Linked DNA regions of Ovis aries. The protein of the gene in region 1 binds, or shares a complex with, the protein of each later gene. Links are inferred from orthologs where the notes say so. Each region holds a gene or a part of one and is shown on either strand. Other genes may lie near its edges.

Region 1 (5,798 bases):
GGGGCAGAAGGGGCCACTGACAACATGCCCAAGGTCACAAAGTGAATAAATACTAGCTAAGTTTACTGAGAGCTTCCCAGGTGGCTCAGCAGTAAAGAATCCCAGTGCCAATGTAGGAAATGTGGGTTTGATCCCTGGGTTATGAAGATCCCCTGGAGGAGGAAATGGCAACCCACTCTGGTGGGTTGCCTGGTAAATCCCAAGGACAGAGGAGCCTGAAAGGATAAAATCCATGGGGTCTTAAAGACTCTGACACAACTTAATGACAAACAATAAACAAAGTTCACTAAGTGCGTTCACCAGGCACTCTGCCAAGCCCTTTATAGGAACGAAGTCATTCACCCCACACCCCAGCCTTCTGCTGAGGGTCCAGCTCCTCTCCCATTTTACAGTTGAGGACACAGAGGCTCAGTTGACAAAGCAGCAGCCAGTGTCCCCTGCCCTCAAGAGGCCCCTCAGCTCCTACATCCTCCTGGGAAGCCCCTCCCAATGGGCCCCCTCATCCCTCTGCTGCCGTGCCTGGGAGCTCTCACTGTTGGCACCAGGATCCCCTGCAGCATGAAGTCATGGATCTTCTGGCCCCACCAGGTGCCCCGTTGGGCCTCCTGCTGCAGCAGCTGGCCCAGCCCCATGTGGCAGAAGCCATACTTGGTTGCCATGTATTTGCACTGTGTCCCTTTTCCGCAGCCTGGACCGCCCATCACAAAGACGATCAGGGGGACTTGAGGATGTCTGCGTGCCTGAGGAAGAGGGACAGGGGAGAGGGGTTGGTGCCTGTAGGGGTCAGTTGGTGCTGAGGGGATTGTGTCCACAGTTACAATGGGTTACGCTGGACACATGTCTGCTGGAAGATCTATTTCTGCCCTAGGGTGGTATCTGGGGGTGTGTGTCCACACCCAGTGATATATCCAGGCACGGCACCCATTAATACTGCTATAGGTCATGTGGATGAGGTGTGAACCCAAGCAGGTCAGGCCCTTTGTGTGCAGCCTCTCCTCGAAGAATCACCCCTTTTACAGTTGAGGAAACTGAGGCTCTGAGACGGACAGGGACTTGTCCACCCCTCCAGTCTCATCCCATACCACCCTCCCCTTTCTTTACTGTTTCAGCCCAGTGGCCTCCTTTCAGACCCTTGTACTCATCACCTCCCTGTTGCTCCTCCCCGACCCCCACCCCTGCTGGAAGTCCATACTGCAGTCCCTTCAGGTTGCAGCTCACCCTTCAGCTAATCTCTGTCTAAAGAGCCTCCCACCCCATTGTTCCCAGTCTCAAAACCCTAATTCCCCACCACCCCACAAAAAGAATTCCATTTCCTCCAGTAATGGTCACTATCAGTAATGAGTCTGCCCGTTTACTTGTTCTTGTTTGTCTCCCCAGTCAGACTATGTACTACAAGAACACAGAATCTGTTTGTCTTCCTTGTCCCTGTATTTCTAGTACTTGGCATAGTTTCTGACATAATCGTAGCAAGTGAGGAGTAGATAAATGTCCATAACTATCAGAAACATCTATGGAGACCTGTAGTTTATAGTGCTGGCTTCCTACATTCCCCACGGACTTCCCAGAATCCAGCGCAGCAGGTGCTAAAAGTGAAAGTCAGTCAGTCAGTCAGTCAGGCGTGTCCGACTCTTTGTGACCCATGGAATTCTCCAGGCCAGAATACTGGAGTGGGTAGCCTTTCACTTCTCCAGGGGACCTTTCCAACCCAAGGATCAAACCCAGGTCTCCCGCATTGCAGGTGGATTCCTTACCAGCTGAGCCACAAGGGAAGCCCAGCAGGTGCTAACATGGATCACTGAATACCTGACCCTGAGCATGCGAAGTTGTGTTACAATAAGGTAGGGGGCCGGGAGGAAGGGCGTGTGCACACCTGGACTTGAGGAGGGGTTACCTGCATTCTCCCGCCCTCCATAACCTCCTTCCCTTCTCCCGAGTAAACCAGCCACCCCCGCGATGTTTCCCTTCTTCTGGGGCCTCAGGGGCCTGCCTATTTGGGGCAGTTTGGACTTGCACAAACCCAACCCGCCTGAGGCCCGTGGGGTGAGCGCACTCCATCCCCTACACAGGCCCTGACCTCTCCTAGTTCGGTTCAACGTCACAAGGGCCCCTGGCCCGATTATTTGGCGAGATGATAGGGCTACCCCCGGGGGCTGTGGGGAGAAATGAACCCCAAAGAGGCTCAGGTAGAGCCGCAGCAGTCGGCTGCCAAGGAGGCCTCGGTTGCTGTGGTAACGCGACCTCCCCGGACTCACTTCCGCAGTAAAGTAGCGCATGCGCAAATGGCCCGACAGGCCGCGAGGGTGGCGGGTTTCCTCCCTTCCTTCCCAAGATACCCCGCGGTCCTGAGATGTAATGTCACTGGGGGCGTCTTCACGTCACCTGTTTGGGTTATCCGCGTGATGAGGTTATCGGCCTGATGGGATTATCGTGCTATACAAACTGCGGGCCGCCAGAGCGCTAGATACAGAAGGCGCTACCTTCAGTTGGGAGTAGGTTGCTTCCCCTAGGCCTGCGGGAGGATTTCGATTCCGGTTTAGGCGGCTGCGCAGGCGCAGACTTGGCACAGGCGGTCTCAAGCCAATCGCCGACCCAGTGCCGCCTCCGGATAGCTTTCCCCAGGATCGGTTGTATCCCGGGCCGGAGACCGGACACCTCGAGGGCGGCCTCCGAGGGACGCGCACCCGGAGGGAGGCGTAAAGAAAGGTTCTGATCAGACCCGGGTCAATCGCCCATCGCCCATGGCGGCCCTCGTAAGTGTGCGGCCAGGCGGTTCGGCTGCGGTCCCGGTGGCCTCTGTAGCCTCTCACTCACTGTCCTGCTTTCTCTCCCCTCAGGGCCCCAGCAGCCAGAATGTCACTGAGTATGTCGTCCGAGTTCCCAAGTAAGTCCCTGACCCTACCAACCCCCTTTCCCTCCAGAAAAGGATTAAAATCTCGAGGTTCCAGGAGTGTCTGATTCTTCTTCCAGGGCTGGGGTTGAGCCGAGGCCTCTGGGGCATCACTGTTTTTTTAACAGAGTGAATGAATAAGTACATTAATATACAGTAACACGCAGCCTGCCTGCCTAGGATTCCCTCAGCCAGGAATGGCAACAGTGACTCTACTGGGTGGATTCTTTTTGATCCTGCGAAATTCCGTTACAGTATTTTCCTCCTTCAGGAGGCAGTCCCTGCCTGTCCACCCCGCTGCCCAGGGCTGAGTTCCCAATTATCCCATCTTGAGTTCCCAGAAATATTTGTCCTTAACTGATCTCTGGGGTTTTTTTCATGGGTCCCCAGCGTTGCCCAGCACAAAGAACTGAGCCTGGGAGGGTTTGCTGAATTAATGAATGATTAACTGAGCACTGCCTCTTTTTGCCCATACCAGAAATACCACCAAAAAATACAATATCATGGCTTTCAATGCAGCCGATAAAGTCAACCTCACTACTTGGAATCAGGTAAGTCCGAGTTCTGAGGCTGTGAGAAAACCTGACCCTGGATTTGATGTAATAGTTGCTTGGTTGTGATAGTAACTAAGGCTTAGGATCCTCCCCTCTCCCCACGTGCAGATAAATGATAACTAAGGCCCAGGCTGAGCCTCTGGGCACCCCTGAGGACAAGATATGTGTGGCCTTGCAGGAGGCTTTCTTCTGAAATTTGTGCCCACTGATGGGCATTCTGGGTCGAGATCTATCTGGGCAAGAGAGGAGGGGGCTGCCTCCTAGAGGTGACTCAGAGCCCCTATTGTTGGAGACTCCAGAGCGGTCTTTAGAAACTGTTTTAGTTGCAGGCTGCTCTAGCAGAATTCCAGAGACTGGGTGGTTTGTAAACAACAGACATTTATTTCCCACAGTTCTGGAGGCTGGAAGTCCAAGATCAGGGCGCCAGCAGATCTGGTGTCCTGGTTCATAGCTGGTGCCTTTGCACTGTACTCTCACCTGGGTACACAGCACTCTGGAATCCTTTGTTAAAGAGGGCACTTATCTCACTCCTAATAGGCTGCAGCCTCACAACCTAATCATCATCTATCAGAGGCCCCGCCCCCAAATACCATCACACCGGAAATTAGGTTATATGCATTTGGGGAGAATTCCCTGTAGATACAGCGGTTAGGACTCCAGCTAGGACTCTAGCCCATTCACTGCTGGGGGCCTAGGTTCCATCCCTGGTGGGGGAACTAAGATTCCAGAAGTCCGAGATCACAGCCAAAAAGAATGCATTTTGGAGGCATGCAAACATTCATCCATAGCAGAGGCTATTAAAGGGTTACAAACAGTCTGTAAAGAGATTTGTCCACTGTGGGGTCGAGGGCAAGTGAAGGGAGAACAGGGCGGAGGTGAAGGCTCTGGACCAGGTGAGCCTGTGATGGGGTTTGCAGCAAACAGGTTACGAGAAGTTATTGGACTCTGGGGTGTCTTTTTTTCTTTTTTTCTTTTTTAATTTTTCATTTGGAAATAACTTCAAACTTTCAAAAAGCTGCAAAAACAGACATCGCAGCGGGCTTTAGACAGATCCCTTCGCCCACATTCACAGAGCCTCTTTTCGCCAAGCGGGAAGTTGGCTCAGAGGGTCCACCGCTCAGCCTGCGGGGAGGAAGGGGTGTTGTTGGATGGGGAGCAGGCTGCCTGATGAGAAGTCTCGCCTTCCGTCTCCCAGGCCCGGCTGGAACGAGACCTGAGCAACAAGAAGATTTACCAAGAGGAGGAGATGCCGGAGTCGGGCGCCGGCAGCGAGTTCAACCGCAAGCTCCGGGAGGAGGCGCGGAGGAAGAAGTACGGCATTGTCCTCAAGGAGTTCCGGCCGGAGGACCAGCCCTGGCTGCTGCGGGTCAACGGTAAATCAGGCCGAAAGTAAGTGCCCCTTCCCGCCACTCCCCGGTACCCTTGGCCGAACTTCTAGGTCCTGCAGCTGGGGGTGACAGCTCATCCACCCATGAAGGGGTTTTCTTGGGGAAGATGAGCCAAGGGGTTGCTCGAGTGTGTGCTAGGGATGCAGGAATCCCGGCCTGCCGTCCTCCTGCGCCCAGCCAAGGACTGCCCAGAGCTGAGGGTTGAGAACCATGGGGGAGACAGAGATTAAGGGAAATGAAGGGCACTCTGGTTGAACAGCGAGCACGAAGGCGTGAAACATCGAGCCCCAGGGACTGTCACAGCGCACGACAGTGGCAGAGTGGGTGGACTGAGAGGGCTGAGAGTGCCAGGGCACAGCGGGACTGTGGGTAGGCTGGGGCCCAGGGCAGCCTGAAGGCTGTAGGTGGGGAAGGGGCACTCTGTAAGACTGCCTGCACATGGTGGGGCAGAAAAGGGGAAGGATGGAGGCCCGGAGGGAGCTGGGCTGGCAGTGGTTCAAGGAAGATTCCGGAGGGGAATCCAGAGGGGTCTGACACTAGAGCACTGTGCTCTTTAGGGCCCATCTAACAGGTCCTTCCAGAAAGGACCATGTCGTGTATAGTGCACAGGAGCCCTAAGTCTGCTCTGTGAGGGCAGGAAGCCCACCTTTTCCAGATGTGGGAATCCAGGCTCAGGCAGTCAGCGGGCCAGCCTTCCAGCCTCAGGTTTTGCTAGGAGAACCCAGATGGCCCTGGAGAGAGGGATGCAGGGGGTGTTGTCTGGATGTGGCACTAGTCCTTCTTCCCCACACAGACTGTGACCTTGAACTCCCTGCAGGTTCAAGGGCATAAAGAAGGGCGGCGTGACAGAAAACACCTCCTACTACATCTTCACCCAGTGCCCTGATGGGGCTTTCGAGGCCTTCCCTGTCCACAACTGGTATAACTTCACGCCGCTGGCCAAGCACCGCACGCTCACGGCCGAGGAGG
Region 2 (5,519 bases), on another chromosome or scaffold:
CCGCCGCCGCCCCCGCCGCCGCCGCCGCCATCTCCGCTCACAGCCCTCTGGCCTCCCGCCGCGGCTCAGGCTCTGGCCCGGCTCGATTCCCGGCCCGCGGAGCCCGCGCCCACAGCCGTCCCGTCCCCGCAGCCCGGGCGGCCGAGTGCAGAGTGCGGCGGGCCCCGGGCGGGCGCCGCTGGCAGAGCCTCCCGCTCGCGGCCCCTCCTAGGCGGGCGGGCCGAGGGCGGTGCCCTCCGCGCTGCTCCGCCCGCCGGCCCCTCCGAGGGAGCGGGTCCTGCCCGGCCGGGGTCCTCGTAGAGGCCGCCTCCCGGGCTCGGGAGAGGTGGCAGGGGGCGCGGGCAACGCGCGAGCCCGCGACCCCACTTGGTGGAGGCCGGTGGCTGAGAGGGGCGTCCCGGGCCAGGGCGGGGGCGGGTCCGCTGGCACGTGGAGGGGCCGGACCGCGGCTGCGGCTCTGCGCGCCGGGTCGGGAGGGGCTGGACAGGCCGGGGCTCGGTAGGGCCTGGGGCGGGGGCTGCCGAGCCGTCTAAATCAGATTCGGGCCCAATCCCTCAGCGGCGGTCCCCTCTCTTGCTTCACCGGAGGGGCCAACGGCTGACTGGCCAGGAAAGGTCCCTGTGCTCTGCTGGGGGGTGAAAAACAAAGCTAGGGGAGAACTCGGAGGGGGTCGCTAGGCCCAGAAACGGAGGTTGCTTGGAATTAGGACCCTCGGTCTCTCTCATCCCCTTCCTTTCTCCTTCCCTTCTTTGCGGGTCCCCCAGGAGCACCCCCAGGGAGGTGCACTTTGAGCCACCTGGCCTTCGGCTAGTGCGGGGGGTTGGGGTGGAGATGGGGAGGGAACGGGAATGGGTGAGGCCAGAGGGAAGGGAGGTCTAGGTGCCTGGGAGGCGGGCGTGGTGGGGACAGAGGTCGCTTCTCCCTGGCAGGGCCCAAAGAGAAACCGGAGTAGGTGCTGACGTCTAGCAGCCATGGGGGAACACGGCCTGCTGGGGCTTTGTGTTCTGTATGAGGGTCCGGAGGACAGAGCAGAGGGGGTGAGCACTAGTGTATGAGCAGCGTCAGGGAGAGTGTCAGGAGAGGCCAGTGCCCAGGAAACAGGCAGTGTGCAGGAGGAGGCAGCGCCGGGGTGAAGGGGCGCGCGGGAGGTCGCAGGGGGCTCCCGGGTAAGGGAGCAGTGCCCAGGAGGGGGCCGAAGTGAGAGCTGGCACCCTAGAGGAAGGGGCAATGTAAAGAAAGAGGTGGCATCTGTAGGATAGGGTAGTGCCAGGATGAAGAAGCCCGTAGGAGAGCTTGTCTAGAAGGAGAGGACCGTGGTAGCGGAAAGGGAAGAACAGAGCTTAAGGGGCAGGGCTCGAGGAGGGCAGTGGGTTTGGGGTTAATGCCCTGCTGAAGGGGTGGTGTGAGAGAAGAGAGCAGGAAAGGGGACGGTGCAGGCTTTCCTCTTCCCCATGGTGACATCATGGCAAATTCCCAAACTGGAGGGACCCGGCTCAGGTGACATCCAGCTGGGACGAGCCGGCCCGGGCCGGCCTGGGTGCCAGCAGGAAGGGCTGGGTTTTGCGCCCAGTCGGGCCAGCGCCCTGGGGGCGGGGTGCTGCTCCCCTCACTCTCTGTGCGGACTTGCCCTCGGCGGGCACGCAGACCGGCACAGTAAGGCTCGGGCCGGGCTTCTCTGGGCCAAGGATCAAGGTCCCTGGCTGGGGCAGGCCGCTTGAGCATTCCAGTCTTCCAGACCCGGCTTCTGAAGAGGGCGCAGTAGAGCCTCGGGAGAGAGCCGGACGCGACGCCACCTCTGTCGGAGGTGGGACCCATCGTGTCGCCGCCGGGGGCGGGGTTTTCTGGACCCGAAACCAGCCCTCAATTCTGAAACCTCTGGGAAACAATCGTTCGGGGCGGAAGTTAAGAAGCCCCGAGAGCTAGGCAGCGGAAGTGGCTGCGGTACAGTTCTTCTATGCGCATGCGTTATTGTATTCCTTTGCCGCTGCCGTTTCAGCGCTGCGTCGTCTTAGCGCGCCTCTTTTCCTCCACGCGAGGGGGTGCGCTACCCCTAGTCGTCGTGGTCAGCGCGCCCAGTCCCTCTGCTACTCTCGTGGCCCCCTCACCATGGCGGGCATCCTTTTTGAGGATATTTTTGATGTAAAAGACATTGACCCGGAAGGCAAAAAGTTTGACCGAGGTAAGCAAGGTTTGGAGGGGCGGTTTCGGGGGAAGGGGCTAATCTCCTCTGGTACCCGCCCCCAGGCTGCTTGTCCACCCACTTTCGCGTGGCCTTTCCCTACCGGTGGGTCCTGGTGTGGGGACCTCTCTCGAGAAATAATTTTATAGATAAGAAAACGGAGACTCCCGAGCTCTCCCTGGTTTCACACAAGCTGTGCTCGCTGCCTGGGTGGCCTTTTCTGCTGGTGCTGGTGGACTCCAGGCATCTTTTATAATCGCTCCCCGCTCTGGACCGGGCGCTGTACTTAACACTTCGCACGCGCTTTGTCTCACTTATTTTCTTCCAGGAGTAGGCGGTGTCTTACCCATTTTGCTCTGAGAGGCTAAGCAGCCCACCCAAGGTTGTACAGTGAATAATCCGACTTCACAACCCGTTCCTCAGAGTCTTTAGCTGTTTGTAAAATCTTCTCAGAGTTTAAGAGTAGACTGCTTGGTATACACCTCTTTATTCTGTCATTTATCAATAATTGTCCTGGGTGTCTCTTCCTTTGCCTGGACACTGATAAGTTCTTCGGGACAAACACCAGTTCTTACACATCTTGATAATCAATCCCCTTAGCACAGCACCTGACACAGGAAGAGGAAACCTTAGGATGAATGAATACCTTGCCCCAAATCAGGTTATTTCTTAATCACTTAGGTTGGCCTAGAACCTGGATATTATTTATTGCCAGAGGATCTTTGATTCTTTTCTGTGGATTCTGTCCACTGGCCACAGGTTGTCTCCCCTTTCCTTCCTGCATGTGTGATTCTGATTGAGCCTGTACTTCTGTGAGAGCAGATGAGAGGCCAGTGGATACAGACTGCATTAGACTGAGTATTCTGTTGCATCCAGGCCCCTGAAGTACCTGTCTGCCCTGCCCTGTAGGGTCTGCCCTGGGCCACAGGCAGTTAACTTCTGCCACTCTTCCCCTCCAGTGTCTCGGCTGCATTGTGAGAGTGAATCTTTCAAGATGGACCTCATCCTTGATGTAAACATTCAGATTTACCCGGTAGACTTGGGTAAGTATTGAACACAAACAGCAGGAGGCTTTATGCCATCTCAGCTGGTCTCCACCCTCTGCTACCGCTGTTGTTTTCAGGTGACAAGTTCCGGTTGGTCATAGCCAGTACCTTATATGAAGATGGTACTCTGGATGATGGTGAATACAACCCCACAGATGATAGGCCTTCCAGGTGAGGGGATGGAAAAGGGAGCACCTGAAATGTGCCTGAGGACTAAGTGGATAGGTGTATAGAAAAACCCTTACTTAATTCATGAAATAAATGATTATCAGCAGACTCTGTTAGCTTAAGAAAAGTGCAGCACTTAAGAATCCAGACATCCAGGTGTTTATCCAAAGCAGTGATTACAGTGTGAGTTGTCACTTTTTGATAGTGGAGGAAATGAGCACTGAATGACCTAGGCTCTGTGGGCCTTGTGTCTTGGGAGGGAGTTTGGTGTGATGGAAAGGCTTTGGACGCCCACTCAGTTCACATCTCAGCTCTACCACTTATTTGTTGGATAACCTTAACCTCCTTCAACCTTAGTTTTTTCTCATCAATAACATTGATGGTCATACCTAGCTCACAGGGTTGCTGTGAGGATTGAATGACATCACGTTTAGAAAGTGCCTGGTGTTATGATGCTGGCGTATAGTTACCAGTTACCATTTTTTTAAAGGGCCTCTTACTTTTGTTAACTGTATTTAAGAATAACTGCCCCTATTGTTCCACAGGGCTGACCAATTTGAGTATGTCATGTATGGGAAAGTGTACAGGATTGAGGGAGACGAAACTTCTACTGAAGCAGCAACACGCCTGTAAGTTCCTTGGTCTTGTGAGAGCCCTTTCCCTTCTCATTTTGTGAGAATTTGGGCTATGCTTTGAAAATCTGGACCATCCTCAGGCTCCCTGGATTTCTTTCTTCAAGCACCTCAGACCTAGCGGGACCCAGAAAGGAACTGTTTTGGGAACAGTTTCAGTCTGAAATGTAGGCTGGTCAGTTTGCCCTCTGTCAGGATCTTAAGGCCTGTGATCTAAATGAGAAACTGTTAATCTTGCTGAGTGAAATGCCAAGGAAAGTTACTTCTCCAAGAACTAAATGCAGCATAAGTGATTAAACTGCTAGGCTTTTTTGTTTGTGTGTGTGTGTGTGTTTTGCTACTCTGCAATCCAATCCCTAGTTCTTTGGTTTCTCTGCCCAACTATTTTTTCCTTTTCTTTAAAACCTTATTAAAACAATATGTGCCCTTTGCAAGAAATTTGAAAAGCAGAAAAGTAATATGAAGAAGGAAAAAAGTCACCTATAATTCTATAACCAGAGGGAATCTTCTACATAAACATTCTTGAATGTTCTAGGTTTTTTTTTTCCTATGTACTTTTTTCTTTGAGATCATGTTGTTTATTACAATGTTTTGTTCTGTTCCATTTGCTTAATGTTATGTAAAACATGTTTCCTCATGTCAATTTAAAGCTTTTCCTAAACATTTTTTTTAAATTCCTAAACATTTTTATAGCTGTGTAACATTCCAATAAATGGATGTATCTTAATTGATTTGACCATTTCCCTTAGTTTGGTCATGGAGTATTTTCCACCTTTCTGATATAAAAAACACTGCCTTGCACATATCTGTGCCGTCATCTTTGTCTGAAATTTGGTTCCTAATGACAGAACTCTAGAAGGGTGCCTTTTTTTCTTAGGCTGGCATGGAGAGTAGCTGAGTAGCAGTTTTTGCTCTGGCACTCAGACTCACGGGACTGGGTCTTCTGTTTCAGCTCTGCCTACGTGTCCTATGGGGGGCTGCTCATGAGGCTGCAGGGTGATGCCAACAACCTGCATGGATTTGAAGTGGACTCCAGAGTGTATCTGCTCATGAAGAAACTGGCCTTCTGAACCACCCAGGAAGCTAGCCTTGCTGCTTAGTCACTCAGGTCCTGGATGTTAGTTCAACCCGAATAGCAGTTGCTGTTGTTCACCTGTTCGAAAGGGGCTGACTCTCTGTCCACCCTGAGTGCATCTTTAGCAGGTCTGGACTCAGTGGGAAACTGACTTGCCGGTGAAAGACCCAGTGGGAGAGCTTAAGATGTTTTATGTACATGATTTTTTAAATTAAACTTTACTTTTTCAGACTCTTTTCCCTTCCTTTTTAAAAAAGGTTTTCCCATTTTCAAATCATTTTTTTCAACTTGCTTGTGGTACATTACGTTTCTGGCCCATAGCCAGATGATCACGTGTCAATACAGGATCTATCCCAACCTTTCAGTATCTGGGTTCAGGATTATCTCAGGCTCCTGGCTGACCATCCCCAACATTTCCC

What was found. Proteins that work in one complex are often made in the same cells at the same time.
Region 2: GTF2F1 (region 1) and POLR2H share a complex: the UniProt entries of both Homo sapiens proteins name them as parts of the TBP-based Pol II pre-initiation complex. The link is inferred for Ovis aries from reciprocal best matches to the Homo sapiens genes GTF2F1 and POLR2H.

The regions. Positions count from the first base shown.
Region 1 is NC_056058.1:15,922,795-15,928,592, forward strand, and holds the start of GTF2F1 (general transcription factor IIF subunit 1), read left to right. Parts: upstream 1-2,326; 5' UTR 2,327-2,738; coding exon 2,739-2,750; intron 2,751-2,834; coding exon 2,835-2,881; intron 2,882-3,365; coding exon 3,366-3,438; intron 3,439-4,636; coding exon 4,637-4,830; intron 4,831-5,646; coding exon 5,647-5,798. UniProt on the Homo sapiens protein: TFIIF is a general transcription initiation factor that binds to RNA polymerase II and helps to recruit it to the initiation complex in collaboration with TFIIB. It promotes transcription elongation.
Region 2 is NC_056054.1:203,611,423-203,616,941, reverse strand, and holds POLR2H (DNA-directed RNA polymerases I, II, and III subunit RPABC3), read left to right. Parts: upstream 1-1,972; 5' UTR 1,973-2,106; coding exon 2,107-2,179; intron 2,180-3,138; coding exon 3,139-3,222; intron 3,223-3,302; coding exon 3,303-3,396; intron 3,397-3,938; coding exon 3,939-4,022; intron 4,023-4,977; coding exon 4,978-5,095; 3' UTR 5,096-5,331; downstream 5,332-5,519. Other genes in the region: CLCN2 (chloride channel protein 2), read right to left, coding at 1-31. UniProt on the Homo sapiens protein: DNA-dependent RNA polymerase catalyzes the transcription of DNA into RNA using the four ribonucleoside triphosphates as substrates.